Saccharomyces cerevisiae S288C: one gene and its partners. Changing the gene in region 1 together with any one later gene gives a genetic interaction. Each region holds a gene or a part of one and is shown on either strand. Other genes may lie near its edges.

What was found.
Region 2: mutations in TIF1 (region 1) and EAF7 together harm fitness more than expected from each alone (negative genetic interaction), as found in Saccharomyces cerevisiae (4 studies listed by BioGRID).
Region 3: mutations in TIF1 (region 1) and UBP8 together harm fitness more than expected from each alone (negative genetic interaction), as found in Saccharomyces cerevisiae (3 studies listed by BioGRID).
Region 4: mutations in TIF1 (region 1) and GDS1 together harm fitness more than expected from each alone (negative genetic interaction), as found in Saccharomyces cerevisiae (3 studies listed by BioGRID).

The regions. Positions count from the first base shown.
Region 1 is NC_001143.9:553,370-556,769, reverse strand, and holds TIF1 (translation initiation factor eIF4A), read right to left. Parts: upstream 1,784-3,400; coding exon 596-1,783; downstream 1-595. Other genes in the region: UTP30 (Utp30p), read right to left, coding at 1-252; glycogenin glucosyltransferase GLG1, read right to left, coding at 2,150-3,400.
Region 2 is NC_001146.8:368,534-372,240, reverse strand, and holds EAF7 (Eaf7p), read right to left. Parts: upstream 1,874-3,707; coding exon 596-1,873; downstream 1-595. Other genes in the region: peptidylprolyl isomerase FPR1, read left to right, coding at 15-359; mitochondrial 37S ribosomal protein uS4m NAM9, read left to right, coding at 2,186-3,646. UniProt on the Saccharomyces cerevisiae protein: Component of the NuA4 histone acetyltransferase complex which is involved in transcriptional activation of selected genes principally by acetylation of nucleosomal histone H4 and H2A. The NuA4 complex is also involved in DNA repair.
Region 3 is NC_001145.3:714,777-718,630, reverse strand, and holds UBP8 (ubiquitin-specific protease UBP8), read right to left. Parts: upstream 1,917-3,854; coding exon 501-1,916; downstream 1-500. Other genes in the region: MRE11 (MRX complex nuclease subunit), read left to right, coding at 1-56; FSH2 (putative serine hydrolase), read left to right, coding at 2,322-2,993; FMP42 (Fmp42p), read left to right, coding at 3,186-3,854. UniProt on the Saccharomyces cerevisiae protein: Histone deubiquitinating enzyme component of the transcription coactivator SAGA complex. SAGA acts as a general cofactor required for essentially all RNA polymerase II transcription.
Region 4 is NC_001147.6:1,003,357-1,007,268, reverse strand, and holds GDS1 (Gds1p), read right to left. Parts: upstream 2,133-3,912; coding exon 564-2,132; downstream 1-563. Other genes in the region: CIR2 (electron-transferring-flavoprotein dehydrogenase), read right to left, coding at 1-48. UniProt on the Saccharomyces cerevisiae protein: Involved in nuclear control of mitochondria.

The DNA of each region.
Region 1 (3,400 bases):
TCTATACAAGGCAGAGGGATCCTTGGTAATGAGTAATATGTTTAGGTCCCTTGGTTTAAATAGCTTGTACTTTGTTAATGGAATAATACGGGGGATGTTGTCCCTGTTTATGCCCATTTTTTTGCCCGTGTTGATGATTATGTGTATGTCCTTATCATTTTTTAAAGATGGGTTCTCTTCACATTGTAAAATTAGAGCCTTTAGTGCTTTCTCTGCCAGCCCACTTTTTATAATATCATTTGACTCAACCATCCCAAACCTCGAGATATAGCGTTTGATGTACACTTTTTCTTTTCAGCTCCAATCTCTATTAGTAGGGCATCGATTTTTTTTTTTTTCCTTTTATATATATTATTTTTTATAAATTTGAAAAATTTCAGATAGATACGTTCGGATATATACAAAAAGACAAAGCAAACAATTAGTATAGGGTATTTCAACCTTCGTGCCGAGAGTCTTTTGGACTTTGAAGAATAATAGGAATGTAAAAAGAAAAACAAATTAAATACAAAAAGCATATATAACTTTTTAGAAATATATGTTACGTTATCAAGATAGCCTCACAAGATACTTTTTTAAGAAGTTTTTGTCTCCCTTAGTTCAACAAAGTAGCGATGTCGGATGGCAATTCTTCAATTTGAGTGGAGTAGAACTTTTCTAGTTCTCTCATAGCGCCAACGTCTTCGTTAGTAACAAAGTTGATGGCAACACCCTTTCTACCGAAACGACCACCTCTACCGATTCTGTGAATATAGTTTTCTTTGTTAGCTGGTAAGTCGTAGTTAATAACCAAAGAAACTTGTTGGACATCGATACCTCTAGCCAACAAATCAGTGGAGATCAAAATTCTGGAAGAACCACTTCTGAATTCCTTCATGATGGTGTCTCTTTCTTGTTGTGGTAAATCAGAGTAGATGGCAGAAACGGTAAATTTGTCGTTTCTTAACTTAGTGGTCAATTCTTCGACCTTTCTTCTGGTGTTACAGAAGATGACAGCTTGAGTAACGGAGATAGAGTCGTATAAATCGGTCAAACACTCGTATTTGTATTCTTCTTCTTCAACATTAACGTAGAATTGTTTGATACCTTCCAAAGTCAATTCATCCTTCTTAACCAAAATTCTAACTGGGTTTCTCATAAATTTGGTGGTAACTTCCAAGACGTCATTTGGCATGGTGGCGGACAATAGAACAACTTGAGTGGTTGGTGGAAGTAAGGTGAAAATTTGGTAGATTTGTTCCTTGAAACCAGAAGACAACATTTCATCAGCTTCATCTAAGATGAACATCTTGATCTTGTCAGTTCTGAATCTACGTCTTTGGATGTTGTCAAAAACACGACCTGGAGTACCAACGACGATTTGAGCATCTCTCAAACCTTCAGCGTCTTCAACAAAGGAAGTACCACCGATACAAGCGTGGACCTTGATGTCCATGTGGAAAGCCAAAGCCATGACAACCTTTTGGATTTGCAAAGCCAATTCTCTAGTTGGAGCCAACATCAAAGCTTGAGGAGCCTTGACAGAGGTGTCAATTCTTTGCAAAGCAGCAATGGAAAAGGTACCGGTCTTACCAGTACCAGATTGAGCTTGAGCCAAGACATCGTGACCTTCAATAATAGGCATGATGGCACGTTGTTGAATGGCAGATGGTTCTTCGAAACCGTAACCGAAAACACCTCTTAACAAGTTTTCGTCCAATTCCATATCATCGAACTTGTAGACAACCTTGTCATAGTTGGTTTGAATTTGGGATTCTTCAATATCAGTAATACCTTCAGACATCTTGTATATAATTAGAAGGAGGCCGTTTAACGAATTTGTTATAAAATAAGAAAAGAAAAGACTAGAGACCAAATAAAAAATCTACAAATGTCAGGGCTGCGTATATTCATACCTTTGTTCTGTGATGTTAGCTCAAGTTCTTAGCACATCATTCAATAGACGAGGTGAGAATGCAAAAATTTTTCAGTCACTATAAACGTTGTGAGGTGAGAAAAGATAAACAGCAAGCATCGGATGTTGTTGCTGATAAACCTTTAAAGTAAATTTCGAGTTTGAATGTATATAGAATAGTTATGCATTTTTGTATAGTCGAAAAGGTCTTTACATAGATATGTCTTTTAATTTTCCTAATATGTGCGTGGAAGTTTACTCTACTGCATACTCAAAAATATCATCAGGGAAACACCTCTCTACTTTGGATAGATAATCAGAGTCCTCCCAGTCAAATTTGAAGTTGGGCATTTCTTGTTGCGGTTGGTTGGTTTCCTCTGCTGTAAGTTTCATATCCTCCTGTTTATCTGCAACTGCACTCGTCTTCGTTTCTCCTTCGGTAGCATCTCTTGCATCGTCATCAAAAAATTCTTCTTCGTTATCGATTGCATTTGACTCGTACACGTCCGGAAGAAATTCTTCATAACCTTCCTTGTCTTTTTCTAAGTACTGTATATTGTCATCAACAGAGGTATGTGGTTCTACGTCGTCTGGTAAGTCATTAGTAGAAACACTTGGTTTTTGTATATTGTCAGTTGACCTTTTCTGTTCTGGATTTGAAGGGCTAGATTCGACACTGATATTATTTTCTTTAGAATTGCTAAAATTTTTGCCATCTGGTTGATTACTTACATTGTTATTGGAAGAAGCGGCCGTGCTTATATCATCGAGGTGGCTTTCTTCTCCAGAATTTGAAGCGTTATCTGTCGTACTATCCTCCTCTTCTGCATTTTGGTGCTCATCGCTATCAGCTTGAGTACTCACAACGCTATAAGAGCTGTTTAGTTCCTGAGTACTATTTGGAGGACTTTCTTGGTCGCGGTTTGAACTGCTATTGATTATATTGTTATCATTCTCTTTCGAATATTCTCTGCTTTCATTTACTGGCTGATTAGTCAAGTGATCTTTGTTAATAAAGGTTGTTAACCACTTGGTAAAATCCAATGGGACAGGGTTAGGAGCAGGGCTATGATCCGAGTTAGGAACAGGCTCGGCGTTCTGGTTGTCCACGTTTTCTTCCACTGTACTAATTGTGTCGATCTCTTGATTCGTAGTGGGTTCGTTCGATGGAGGGGCATCCACTGGGGTTATCGTTTCAGGAGTCTCAGTTTTATCGGAATCACTAATCTTTGGCTTCGAAACTTCGTTATTTAATTGATGTTCTTCCTTAAATTCCTCGTATACCTCATTCCATTGATCATGATACTCGTTTTTAATGAAATTCTTTTGGGACCACAATGACCATGGCTTGTGTTTCCCAATGAAATGAATCAACTTAATGCTAGGTTTAAAGTAATTCATAGCAGGTGAAGATTGGTAGCCTAAATTAGGAATAGTTACGTTATACGTAAATGATAACTGTACCCATTCTCGAGAGAAACTGTCTTTAACTAGCTCATCAGTGCA
Region 2 (3,707 bases), on another chromosome or scaffold:
CAAAACAAGTAATAATGTCTGAAGTAATTGAAGGTAACGTCAAAATTGACAGAATTTCCCCAGGTGATGGTGCCACCTTCCCAAAGACAGGTGACTTGGTTACCATTCATTACACCGGTACCTTGGAGAACGGCCAAAAATTCGATTCCTCCGTTGACAGGGGCTCTCCATTCCAATGTAACATCGGTGTCGGCCAAGTCATCAAGGGTTGGGATGTTGGTATTCCAAAGTTGTCTGTTGGTGAAAAAGCTAGGTTAACCATCCCTGGCCCATATGCTTATGGCCCACGTGGTTTCCCAGGTTTGATTCCACCAAACAGTACTTTGGTTTTCGACGTCGAATTGTTGAAGGTCAACTAAAAGCAAAGTACTATCAATTGAGCCGCCTTTCTGCTTTTTATTTATGTTTATGGTAAGTATCTGAGCCTTAATTGAAATAGATATATAATTACAAAAGATTAGACAAGGAGAAGCATACGTATATTCTATTTCTTCATTAAGGTTATTTTATTCTATATCTGCTACACTACATTAAATACAGATACCTCTATGGAACGGATGAGCGTTTATTATCGCGATCTATATATGAGCAGTGATTATTTTTTATTTCGTAGCCTGCTGGAAACTCTTGTGGCAGGAGGGCTATTTTTACGAGAGCCTGCCTTCCGCCTTTTCCTTTTCGGCGAGGTTTCATTGCTAGTATTACCTGTGGATGATGAATGCCTAGTTCTCTTTGCTAATGGTTCATTTTTGTCCTTAGAATCCTTTTTGGTATCATCCTGTTGATCATCTCCTTTTTTGTTTTCCGTTTTTTTCTTTAAGTTGCCCCCTTCTGATTCAATTTGTTTTCCTTTACCTTCTGCCTCACGTTCAGACTCGTATCCCAGTTCTTCGTCAACTCCTTCGTCAACTCCTTCGCTTTCAGAGCCATTGGTATTTTCATAAGAGGTGGATTTTTCACGCTCATCATCACCTTCTTCGTTTTCGTTTTTTTCCTTATCTACTTCTTCATTGTGGGTTATTTTTGGCTCCTGGATCTCCTCTTTCTTTTCTTTCTGTTCTTCGTCTTTCGTATTATCTTCTTCTATCTCTTCCTTTTCTTCATCTTCAAATTTAACTTCCTTACTTCTTTTCAACCTTTGAGATTTTCTTACTGGAGCTGCTGTTTTATTTGTACTTTTCATTTTCTGTTCTTCTTCACTCATATGTTCCCTCTGGAGTTCCTTTTCATCGCTTTGCACCTCCTTAATGGGTTCTTTCTGGACGTCTATGGGGCTATCATTTTCCTCTGTATGATATTCAGGCAACTCTTTCACTTTAATTGTCGCATTTTTTTCCTGTTTATTGTTGTCGTTCTTTAGGTCTGTAGAAGGACTTTCCTTTGGAATTGTACTATCTTTCTCATTCATATCTTCAACTCGAGGATACTCTTCGTTAGAGTTTGGACTTTTTCTTGCATTTTCTAAGATCAACTCACCGTATTCCTCCCAAGGTAATGTAAAATCTTGCTTGCGTACTCTTATTCGATTATTCAATTCAAGTAAAGTTTCTTCATGAATTTCTGCATCGTCACCATTTCCATTGCCATTCCGTGAACTCTCTGTAGTGGCTTCCAAGGAATATGTATTCTCCATTTCATCAATTTTCTCTAAATTGTAAGATTGGCTCAACTTATCCCATATGTCTTTTGCAGTAAATACCTTCCCCAACTTCATGGTTTCTTTCTGTAATAGCGTCACTGGATACTTATCTGGCGAATTCATTCTTTCCACTATGCAAAACATGTGGAAATGCTTATGAATTCCGGCCGGTTTGAATTCAGATGCCCATCTAAGAAGTCGTATTTCATCCACAATTGTCCAATGTACTACCATCACATCCACGATTCCCTTTTCTTCACTAGCAGCTAGCAACTTCTAATAAACTCCGCCAATCCATCTTCATAGATTATATGATTGATTTCTTCGTTAAGCACGATTTTACTTTTCATGGTGGCAGCCGGATACGTTTCGCTTCGCAGTATTAGTTAAGGAACTATGCTGAAGATATACAAAAAGAGAGAGCGAACGGTCAAAAAGGTGAAGGTTTCCCCAGAGGAAGTGCAACTAATTCGAATATATATCGAGTAGGAGCTCCTTTATACTTTTTTGGTACGGAAGACTGGTTACAATTAAAATACAGAGATAATGCCAAGAAAGGCTAATTTGCTAAAATCTTTGGCAAGAGGACGAGTACGCACTTCTTTCAATAAGTATAATTTGTTTAATTTGTACAAAAAGGGTGGTGTAGACTTGAAGTCTAAATCTTTGTATCAACAGAAGTGGACGGCAAAGCAGGAAACCCGAGCTTATCATGGTGAACATTTGACAGAAAAGAGATGGCAAACCGTTTTCAAACCCAAATTGGATTCAGTAGCACAATTGGATGCTTCACTGCGTGGAGGTGAAATCAAGGAAACACCATTTTTATTACAAACTTTTGCAGTATTAGAAAAAAGGCTTGATTTTGCCCTTTTCAGGGCTATGTTTGCTTCGTCAGTAAGACAAGCTCGTCAGTTCATCTTGCATGGAAATGTTCGCGTTAATGGTGTAAAAATTAAGCATCCAAGCTATACTTTAAAGCCTGGAGATATGTTCAGTGTCAAACCGGACAAAGTGCTGGAAGCTCTCGGTGCCAAGAAACCAAGTTTCCAAGAAGCGCTAAAGATCGATAAGACTCAAATAGTTTTATGGAACAAGTATGTTAAGGAAGCGAAAACGGAGCCAAAGGAAGTTTGGGAGAAGAAGTTGGAAAATTTTGAAAAGATGTCGGATTCTAACCCAAAGAAACTTCAGTTTCAAGAATTTTTGAGGCAATATAATAAGAATCTGGAGTCACAGCAATATAACGCATTAAAGGGATGCACACAGGAAGGTATCTTGAGAAAGCTTTTAAATGTAGAGAAGGAAATAGGTAAGTCGAATAATGAGCCCTTGTCGATAGATGAACTCAAACAGGGTCTCCCTGAGATCCAGGACTCTCAGTTGTTAGAAAGTCTAAATAACGCTTATCAAGAGTTTTTCAAATCCGGTGAAATTAGAAGAGAAATCATTTCTAAATGTCAGCCTGACGAGTTGATTTCACTGGCTACAGAAATGATGAATCCTAACGAAACCACAAAAAAAGAATTATCTGATGGAGCCAAATCCGCTTTAAGATCTGGAAAAAGAATCATAGCGGAAAGCGTGAAACTATGGACGAAAAATATAACAGACCACTTCAAAACTAGGATGAGTGATATTTCTGATGGTTCACTAACGTTCGACCCCAAATGGGCCAAAAATTTAAAATATCATGATCCGATTAAATTATCTGAATTGGAAGGTGATGAACCAAAAGCACGTAAATTGATAAACTTGCCGTGGCAGAAAAATTATGTTTATGGTAGGCAAGATCCTAAAAAACCCTTTTTCACACCATGGAAGCCAAGACCATTTTTATCGCCTTTCGCCATTTTACCTCATCATTTGGAAATATCTTTCAAGACATGCCACGCTGTATACCTAAGGGATCCCGTCGCTCGACCAGGCCAATCCGAAGTAATTTCACCATTTGATGTTCCTGTTCATGAACGTGCATATATGTATTACTTGAGAAATGGTAAATGATCGTCGTGTATTGTTGCACGCGTCTTTTGACTGATCTTCAGCCTCTCTTTACACTGTAAAT
Region 3 (3,854 bases), on another chromosome or scaffold:
CAAGGACGCCAAAGACGGATATTCTTGGAAGTCTCCTTGCTAAGAAAAGAAAATAGTTGTACTTGATCCCTATATTATATTATATCCTATTTATAACCAAGGGCTTGCCTTCGCGAACAACAAGGTATGCCATTTTGAGAGGAGCAAATTTGCATTCTAAATTCATGATAATGATATGTTCTTTAATTATTACTATATATAAACTCACTTAGTTTTCCAGCCTTTGCTCTTTTGTTCGTATAGCAAGGAATGAAAAAAAAAAATCCTGAATAAACGTCATAGTAATTTTCTTCCTTAGTTAGATACAAAGGATTTTGAAATACAGTATATGCACAATCGCAACTCATTAAGAGCATAGGAAAGTATTCAATTTAAAGAAAAACATGATGGAAACGATGATATAGAAAAAAGAACGGAAGCAAGCGTTAACTGTGATAGGAATATGCATAGCTTTTTCTTCTTTTTTGTTTTATTATTATTGTTGAATGCTATTTGCTGAATCAATTTACTTGACGAATGGTGTAGAATAATAAATATGCCTGTTCCTTTAAAACCTCTTCTTGAGATATAGAGGAGACCATGGAATCATTGAATTTAAACCATTGCCCTCCAGAAATTTTACAAAATGCAATATAATGTCCCTCATTAACCGTCCCCTTGTGGGAAACAATACCGATTAATTCGTAAATAATGTCTGGAACCTTGCCATTTTCAGAATGCTTATCTTTTTCCTTCGTTGAACAGTAATTTTTCATATTTAAATAAGTTGGAAATTCAATAAAATCGTCTAGTTTTCTGTTACTTCCATTAAGTAGGTGTTCGAATCTTTTCAATTGCAAAACCAAAACCGATGGTAATTTGTGTATGCCTAGTTGCTTTATTGCATCTTGAGTGCTGTTACACTCCCCACAATGATAGTTGAAATCCTTCAACTGTTCTTTTTTATGGAAACTGTCAAGACATTCATAAAGTTTTTTCTTATCCTTGATATCCAGAGAAAGATCCAAGAATGGATCAATGGTTGTCTTTGAATTATTTTGACAGCCTGGACACACAATAGAACTTTCCAAGGAGCCCTCAAACACAGTATGCACTATGCATTCACACTGCTTATTATTTGCTCTGCTGACTTCCTTGGCATTTGGCAAATCAAGAACATAGCTTTGGTGGATTTGGTTAATTATAAACTGCCAAAATTCATGAGCATCTTGTTGTGAATACCCTGCTAGATTTTGATTGATTTTCCAGGCACAAGTTAAAAGATATATGAATCCGGTTTGCCGATTAGTAGATGTAGATGACGAAGAAGCTTGCTTTGTATTCAGCGCTCCATAAAGTTCATGAACAATTTTATCGAGTGCACATGAAAAACATTTATCTGGAGAACGCACTTTACAATTATTAGAATGAATTTGACTCATTGAGTGCCTAATAAAGTAAGGGTTATGGATTAGACATTGGAGAATACTACTCATGAAACAAGTGGATCCCATGTTGATCAGGCCAGAAAGCCCATCTCTTCTTTCCATGCTAGGAACCATGGTCTTTGTGCACACGTCGTCCCAATACTTCGCTAGGATAGCATCGTTAATCAGATCGATATTCCCTATATAGTCCTCACATTTGAAGCAAAATAAAAGGCCATTATTTGAGTTGATACCAAATATGTGACCAATCTGTTTACTGTGAGAGAGAAAATGCGAATGGTTCCAACATCCACAAAATCCACATTGTAGACACATGAAAGTTGCACCAGAGTTTATTTCGTGGCATGTACCACATTTCATGGTGTTTAAGAATTTTTCCTTGGGTACGGAATGATTTAATATATACCTGGCAGCATTGCACGTTTTTAGAACCCCATCTTTAGACTTTTCATTCTGAAATACTTGCTGTATATGTGGACAAATGCTCATAATTATTAATAACAAATAAAAAAAGCAGGGTTTCAAGTAGGACGACGAGGACCGAAGCTGTAGTTTTCCCTTTTGATCCGATCAATAAATAGTATTCAAAATTATGACAGCCAGTTGAAAGAAATGGACTAACTGGTCTCAAAAGAAAACCTTTATTATTATCCGTAAAATATCTTTTTAGAATTAATCAGGTCCACTAATATAATCCCTTTGCTATTACGACAGCTTTCTAGCCCATATACAATATAAATTATTGATGCTTTTTACACACTATAATCGAGGATTTTTTTTCACTTGAAAAATTCAAAGAAAAGCAAAAAAAGGAAGAATAGAGAAGAAAAAAAAGGTATAAGTGAAGAAAGAATGTGCAATACTACAAGACTATAAGATTTAATAGCTGTAACCATGACGAAGAATGTATTGATGTTACATGGGCTTGCGCAGTCAGGTGACTACTTTGCCTCTAAGACAAAGGGGTTTCGCGCCGAAATGGAAAAGTTAGGATATAAACTCTACTATCCAACAGCACCCAATGAATTTCCCCCAGCTGATGTTCCTGATTTCTTGGGTGAGGTAATTGCTGATGCACCTGGGGATGGTGAGAATACCGGTGTGCTTGCGTGGCTAGAGAATGACCCTTCCACCGGTGGCTATTTCATACCGCAGACGACAATCGACTATTTACACAATTATGTCCTTGAAAATGGTCCATTTGCAGGTATTGTAGGATTTAGTCAAGGAGCCGGTGTAGCTGGATACCTAGCAACGGATTTCAATGGTTTGTTGGGCCTTACAACAGAAGAACAGCCGCCGCTAGAATTTTTCATGGCGGTCAGTGGTTTCAGGTTCCAACCACAACAGTATCAAGAACAGTACGACCTGCATCCAATATCGGTCCCATCTCTACATGTTCAAGGAGAACTTGACACTATCACAGAGCCGGCCAAAGTGCAAGGCCTATATAACTCTTGTACGGAAGACTCTCGCACTTTACTAATGCACTCTGGGGGCCACTTTGTGCCGAACTCAAGAGGGTTTGTGAGAAAAGTGGCTCAATGGCTCCAGCAGTTGACCTGAGGCAAGTATATATAGCACGTAATCTTCACATAATCTTCACATACATATTTATACATGATTAAATCCTCCGGGTAATAATACGTCAAATTAACTTAACTACCGATACGATGCTTCATTATGATAACGATAACAATGGCATCTATAAATGATTTTATTCCTCGTTAGGCCAGTATTAGGGCAGTAAAGACTGTAATGACCAGTACAAGAACGTTGAGATACGCACAGGTTGCCTGTGCTTGTATCTGGTGTCTTTTTTCAGCTGGTATTATCTTTGGATTTGCTGCTTTGAAACCTATTTTAATTTCAGAAGGTGTATACCATGAATTGTGTGATCCTAAGGATGGTGATAGATTATTATGTACTGCACAGGATCTGAAATTAAATTTTATATTTGCTCTCAGTGCTACTGTAACAAACATCATGGCCCTTCCTGTCGGTAAGATTTTGGATATGTATGGACCTCGTGTCTGCGGAATAATAGGATCATGTCTCTTGTTCCTAGCAAGCGGTAATTTTATTTCTGCCAAGCATCTAGTGTCTCTTTGGGACCCATATCTTGTCGGTTACACGCTTTTGGCAGTTGCCGGTCCGTTCGTCTTCATTTCATGTTTTCAATTGGCAAATAGCTTCCCACAAAGATCAGGAACCGTATTGGCCCTACTAACAGGATCATTTGATTCGTCATCTGCGCTGTTTCTGTTATATAGGTTGTTATATCAAAACTGGTTTCCTACCTTGAACGTTTCCAGATTTTTCACCCTATATTTGATTGTTCCAGTGTTTATTCTTGCCTGTCAACTCACGATAATGCCTCATTCTTCCTACAAAACTGTCAATCACATTGCTAAGATCGCTGTGGAA
Region 4 (3,912 bases), on another chromosome or scaffold:
CGTCATTCGGATCCCTCTAATTAAGTTCTCGTTAGTGAACTTAATCATTTTCCCTTTCCCAGAGTGGATTTTCCTGTCTAGCTTAAGTTTGTTCTTTTATGTGGCCTGAAGTAACAGTAAGTATATAACGTATTGAATAAATTAATTAAGTGGGGACCACTACTACTCAGTCCGCTTGAAAAAGTTGAATTTTTCAGTTAACCTTTTCTTTTCTACAGTCATGGCAAATCGCGATCCATTGGTAACAAAAAATAAAGCTTCCCGCAAATTTCGGATAAACTAACTGTGGGGTAAATGAAGATCAATCCATATATATCCGGAATAACCGAAAACAGCCAAAAAAAAAAAAATTACTGTCATTAACAGTAAATTAGTCCACCTCTAACGGTTTAGTTGTTTTTCATTTATTTATTTATGGTTGTTTATTTATTTAAATATTGTAGTGAAAGTTAGAACTAGCTAAAAATTGTCCAAATGAGAGGAACACATATTATTAGTTGATAAAAAAAAACAACGACATAGGTGTAGAGCAGCCGTTATGCTCTTGTAAAGGGAGATAAAAATCAATTGAATATATTTTCTAGGTCATCTAATGTGATTGATTCAGGAGATTCAATATCATGTGTCAAAAATCCATTTCTCACAATTTTCATCCAATTCGTAACTTCGTTTCGTGATTCTTGGGAACTTGGGTTTGATTCTCTTCCGTTATCCTGACTGGAATTGATGTCGGATAAAGATTCAGCAGAAGAAGCAGCTGCACTATTAACTGGTGAACTACTACTACTGTTATATTGAGAGCTCTCTGAAGAGCTCTCAATTGGAGTCTGTGTAGAGATTACTTTATGGATAGCAGCCAGTTCAGAAGAGCTACGTGAATTTTTCTTAAACCCATTTTTCGGCAAAAGCTTAGAAAGCCTTGGTGCAGCGGCAGCGGCAGTAACATAAGTATTTGACGATGCATTATGCGACAGAGAAGAATCTGGCGAAATATTCTTGGAGCTTGCAAATGTAGAAAGAGATGCAGAGGAACCCTTTTTGGGGGTGGATAAAACTGATAAAGATTGGGATTTTGTTTGTTTGCCAGGTTTAGTAGTTTTGGTTTTCTTTGGCTCGGTCATTGACTCGTTAGTATCTTCATCCATGTAATTTCTTTTTTTATTATTGTTTTTACTCTTCGATGCCGAATTAGGTGTCAGTAATTGTTGCTGATTATTACTCATCGATGGGGAAAGATTTAGTGACACTGGAGAAGTGGAATAAGGTATGTTGAATTCTGGACTTAATGAAAAGGCCAGATTCCCTACATTCAAATTTTTTGAGAAGGAACTGTTAGAAGACATATTTTTCATGTCCGTCATAGAACTTGAATAACTGTCATTGTTAACTAGCTGGTTACTGCTGGACTCCCTTTTTTTCTTGCCATTTGAATTAAAGTCGCTTGTATCACCGGAGGTCTCCAATTGTTGTTTAAGTTGCATCGTAACAGCTTGAGCATGCTCCTTGTAATCGGGAGATAATATGCCTCTGTATATATAGAGCATCCTTCTAGGAGATGAATTAGACCATTCCCTTGATAAAGCATAAGTTAACGTTTTCTCACCTTTTTCAATTTTTTTAACATAAGCGTTCAGTTTTGCGGAAATTAAATTTGACAACTTGGTTGATAAATTGGACATATCTGGATGTTTTTGCAAAAGCAAGTCACACAGTTGTTTGACGGTCATGCCTTGTTGATTCGGATCCATTTCCCATAATATTAAAAAAACTGCGTGAAGAACGTCATCATCCAGAGGGGAGTCTCTATTTTCGGGTTTTGGCCTCTCACCAGTAACAGGTATTAGCTTAGAAATTTCTAATAATGGATTGTCTTTTTTGGGAGCACCAAAGTCCTTCTTAGGTTTGGTAGCTTTTATTTCCTGAGATGAGGAAAACGAAGAACCGGCCAAATTATTATCATCAAGGGCCATGCCTGGCTGGTTGCCGATAAGATCCGTGCCTGGATTCGAAATAGTGTCAGCTCTAGTTGTAAATCCCATTGAATTCAACTGAAATACTGGAGAATTTGAGTTATGAAGAATTTCATTCTCTAAAGTTGGTATTTGCAAAGGTCTGGAATTTGCCAATGCCATTATAAGTTCTTCTAATCAATTTTTTTATATGGTTTTTTGTCTTTTTTCGTATTTTTTTGTCCTTTTCTAAAATACTATAGCAAAGCAAAAAAAAAAGTAAAAAAAATTTGATTTATGAAAAGTTGAAATATCCTGGAAAAATTAGTTAAAACCTCCCAATATTTCTGTAGTTATTGATTGATTGCCCGTTTATTTTCTATTTTGCTGATATTGTTTCTGCTAACGTTTCTTTATATAATCCCGCTTGCTGACACAGAAGTGACTAAAATAGGGTAAAAAGGGAAATTATTACGAAAAGGGCAGTCCAAAGCAAATAAAAAACAATGGAATAGAAAATAAAAAAAATTAAAACTCAAAATAAAATGTATTCCAATGTAAAGGAAAAAATAAAATAATAGGAAAAAAGAAACTATTATTTTAAAGCCTTCAATAATGGAATGCTGAAAAGAAAAGTTATGATTTTGGTAATTTGAGTCAAATAGTCAATCAATGACTTTTTGTTTTTGGTTTTTCAGAAATAGAAATTACCAAGAACCTTAATTGATAAAAAAAAGGGGAGCTTGAAGGGAATACTGATAATACAAACAATATCGTGTAAAAAAAACCTACGTAAAAAATTAAATCAAGCCAAGCGAGAACAGAAAAAAAAAATGAAGTAAAATATTGGACTGGAATATGAAAATTTTAGAAAAAGAACTAGCCGGGATAAAAGTACAAGAAAAGGAGAAGAAGAAAAATTTTTGACTTCTCATCGCATGGGTTTTCAGAAAATTTTCTTATCAAAAATTTCATCGGGCGTATGATTTTCGTTTTTTTCTGCGTCGTTCCTTCACAAAGTATCGAAAACCCCAAACAAAAAAAATATAAAAAAAAAAAAACACCCTTGCACCCATAACATACGGCGAGATGTAAGGTAGGTATAGCAGACTTAGATATTGCGTGCGAATCAGTTTGATTCGCAAGTAAAATCTTCATGCGCATTAGTATAGAGCGTTGGAAGCAGTTAACATAGTATTTCGGTTTTTTTTCCCTTTCATAAAAAGGATTCTTCTTCCATAATCCCTTGCGTGAGTTGAATATGAATGAAACTCGTTGAACTAGTGAACAACAAGTGATTGTATGCTCATATTTAGTACTAACATTTCAGCATTGTATAATCCTTTCTTTACTTTCAGGATAAAGACATACATTCTACGTATGATCAAGAGTAAGGAACAAGAATATTAAAAAAAACGAGATGAACCTTGAGTATATATATATATATTTACACCAATGTGCCCTACGAAAATAGTGAAAAAAAAATTTCAGTTGCAACCGCGTTTTGTCCGTTAGTATCTTTTGTCCGTACACCTCGTACTAAAAAAGAAAACCAGTCCAAAAAGAAAGTCAAACGGTCCAAATCGGAAACACCGACGCTCAGCTTAATAAACATTGTGTAGAGCCAAGCGGAAAAGAATACCATTTAGCCGCCGATGCAGAAAACCGGTATATAGAGCTGAAAACAAAGATTGAACTCTCCAGACAAGTTAGAAGTAAAAGCAAGTAATATATAAGTTTTATAAGTGAATATTCGGTCGAAGGTAGTGTCAAAGTTACATCACCAAAACTACTTACTATTGAGGAAATATCAGGTGTGCCAATACGTTAATTGATCTGTGAATAAAAAACGAAGTTGGAACATTGTATTACCTTTCAAATATGCCATAAAAGGTTGCTCGTCGACTAAGTAATTAATCGATTATAAGAGGGAAAAAGCGGGGTAAGTAAAATGTAATATCAT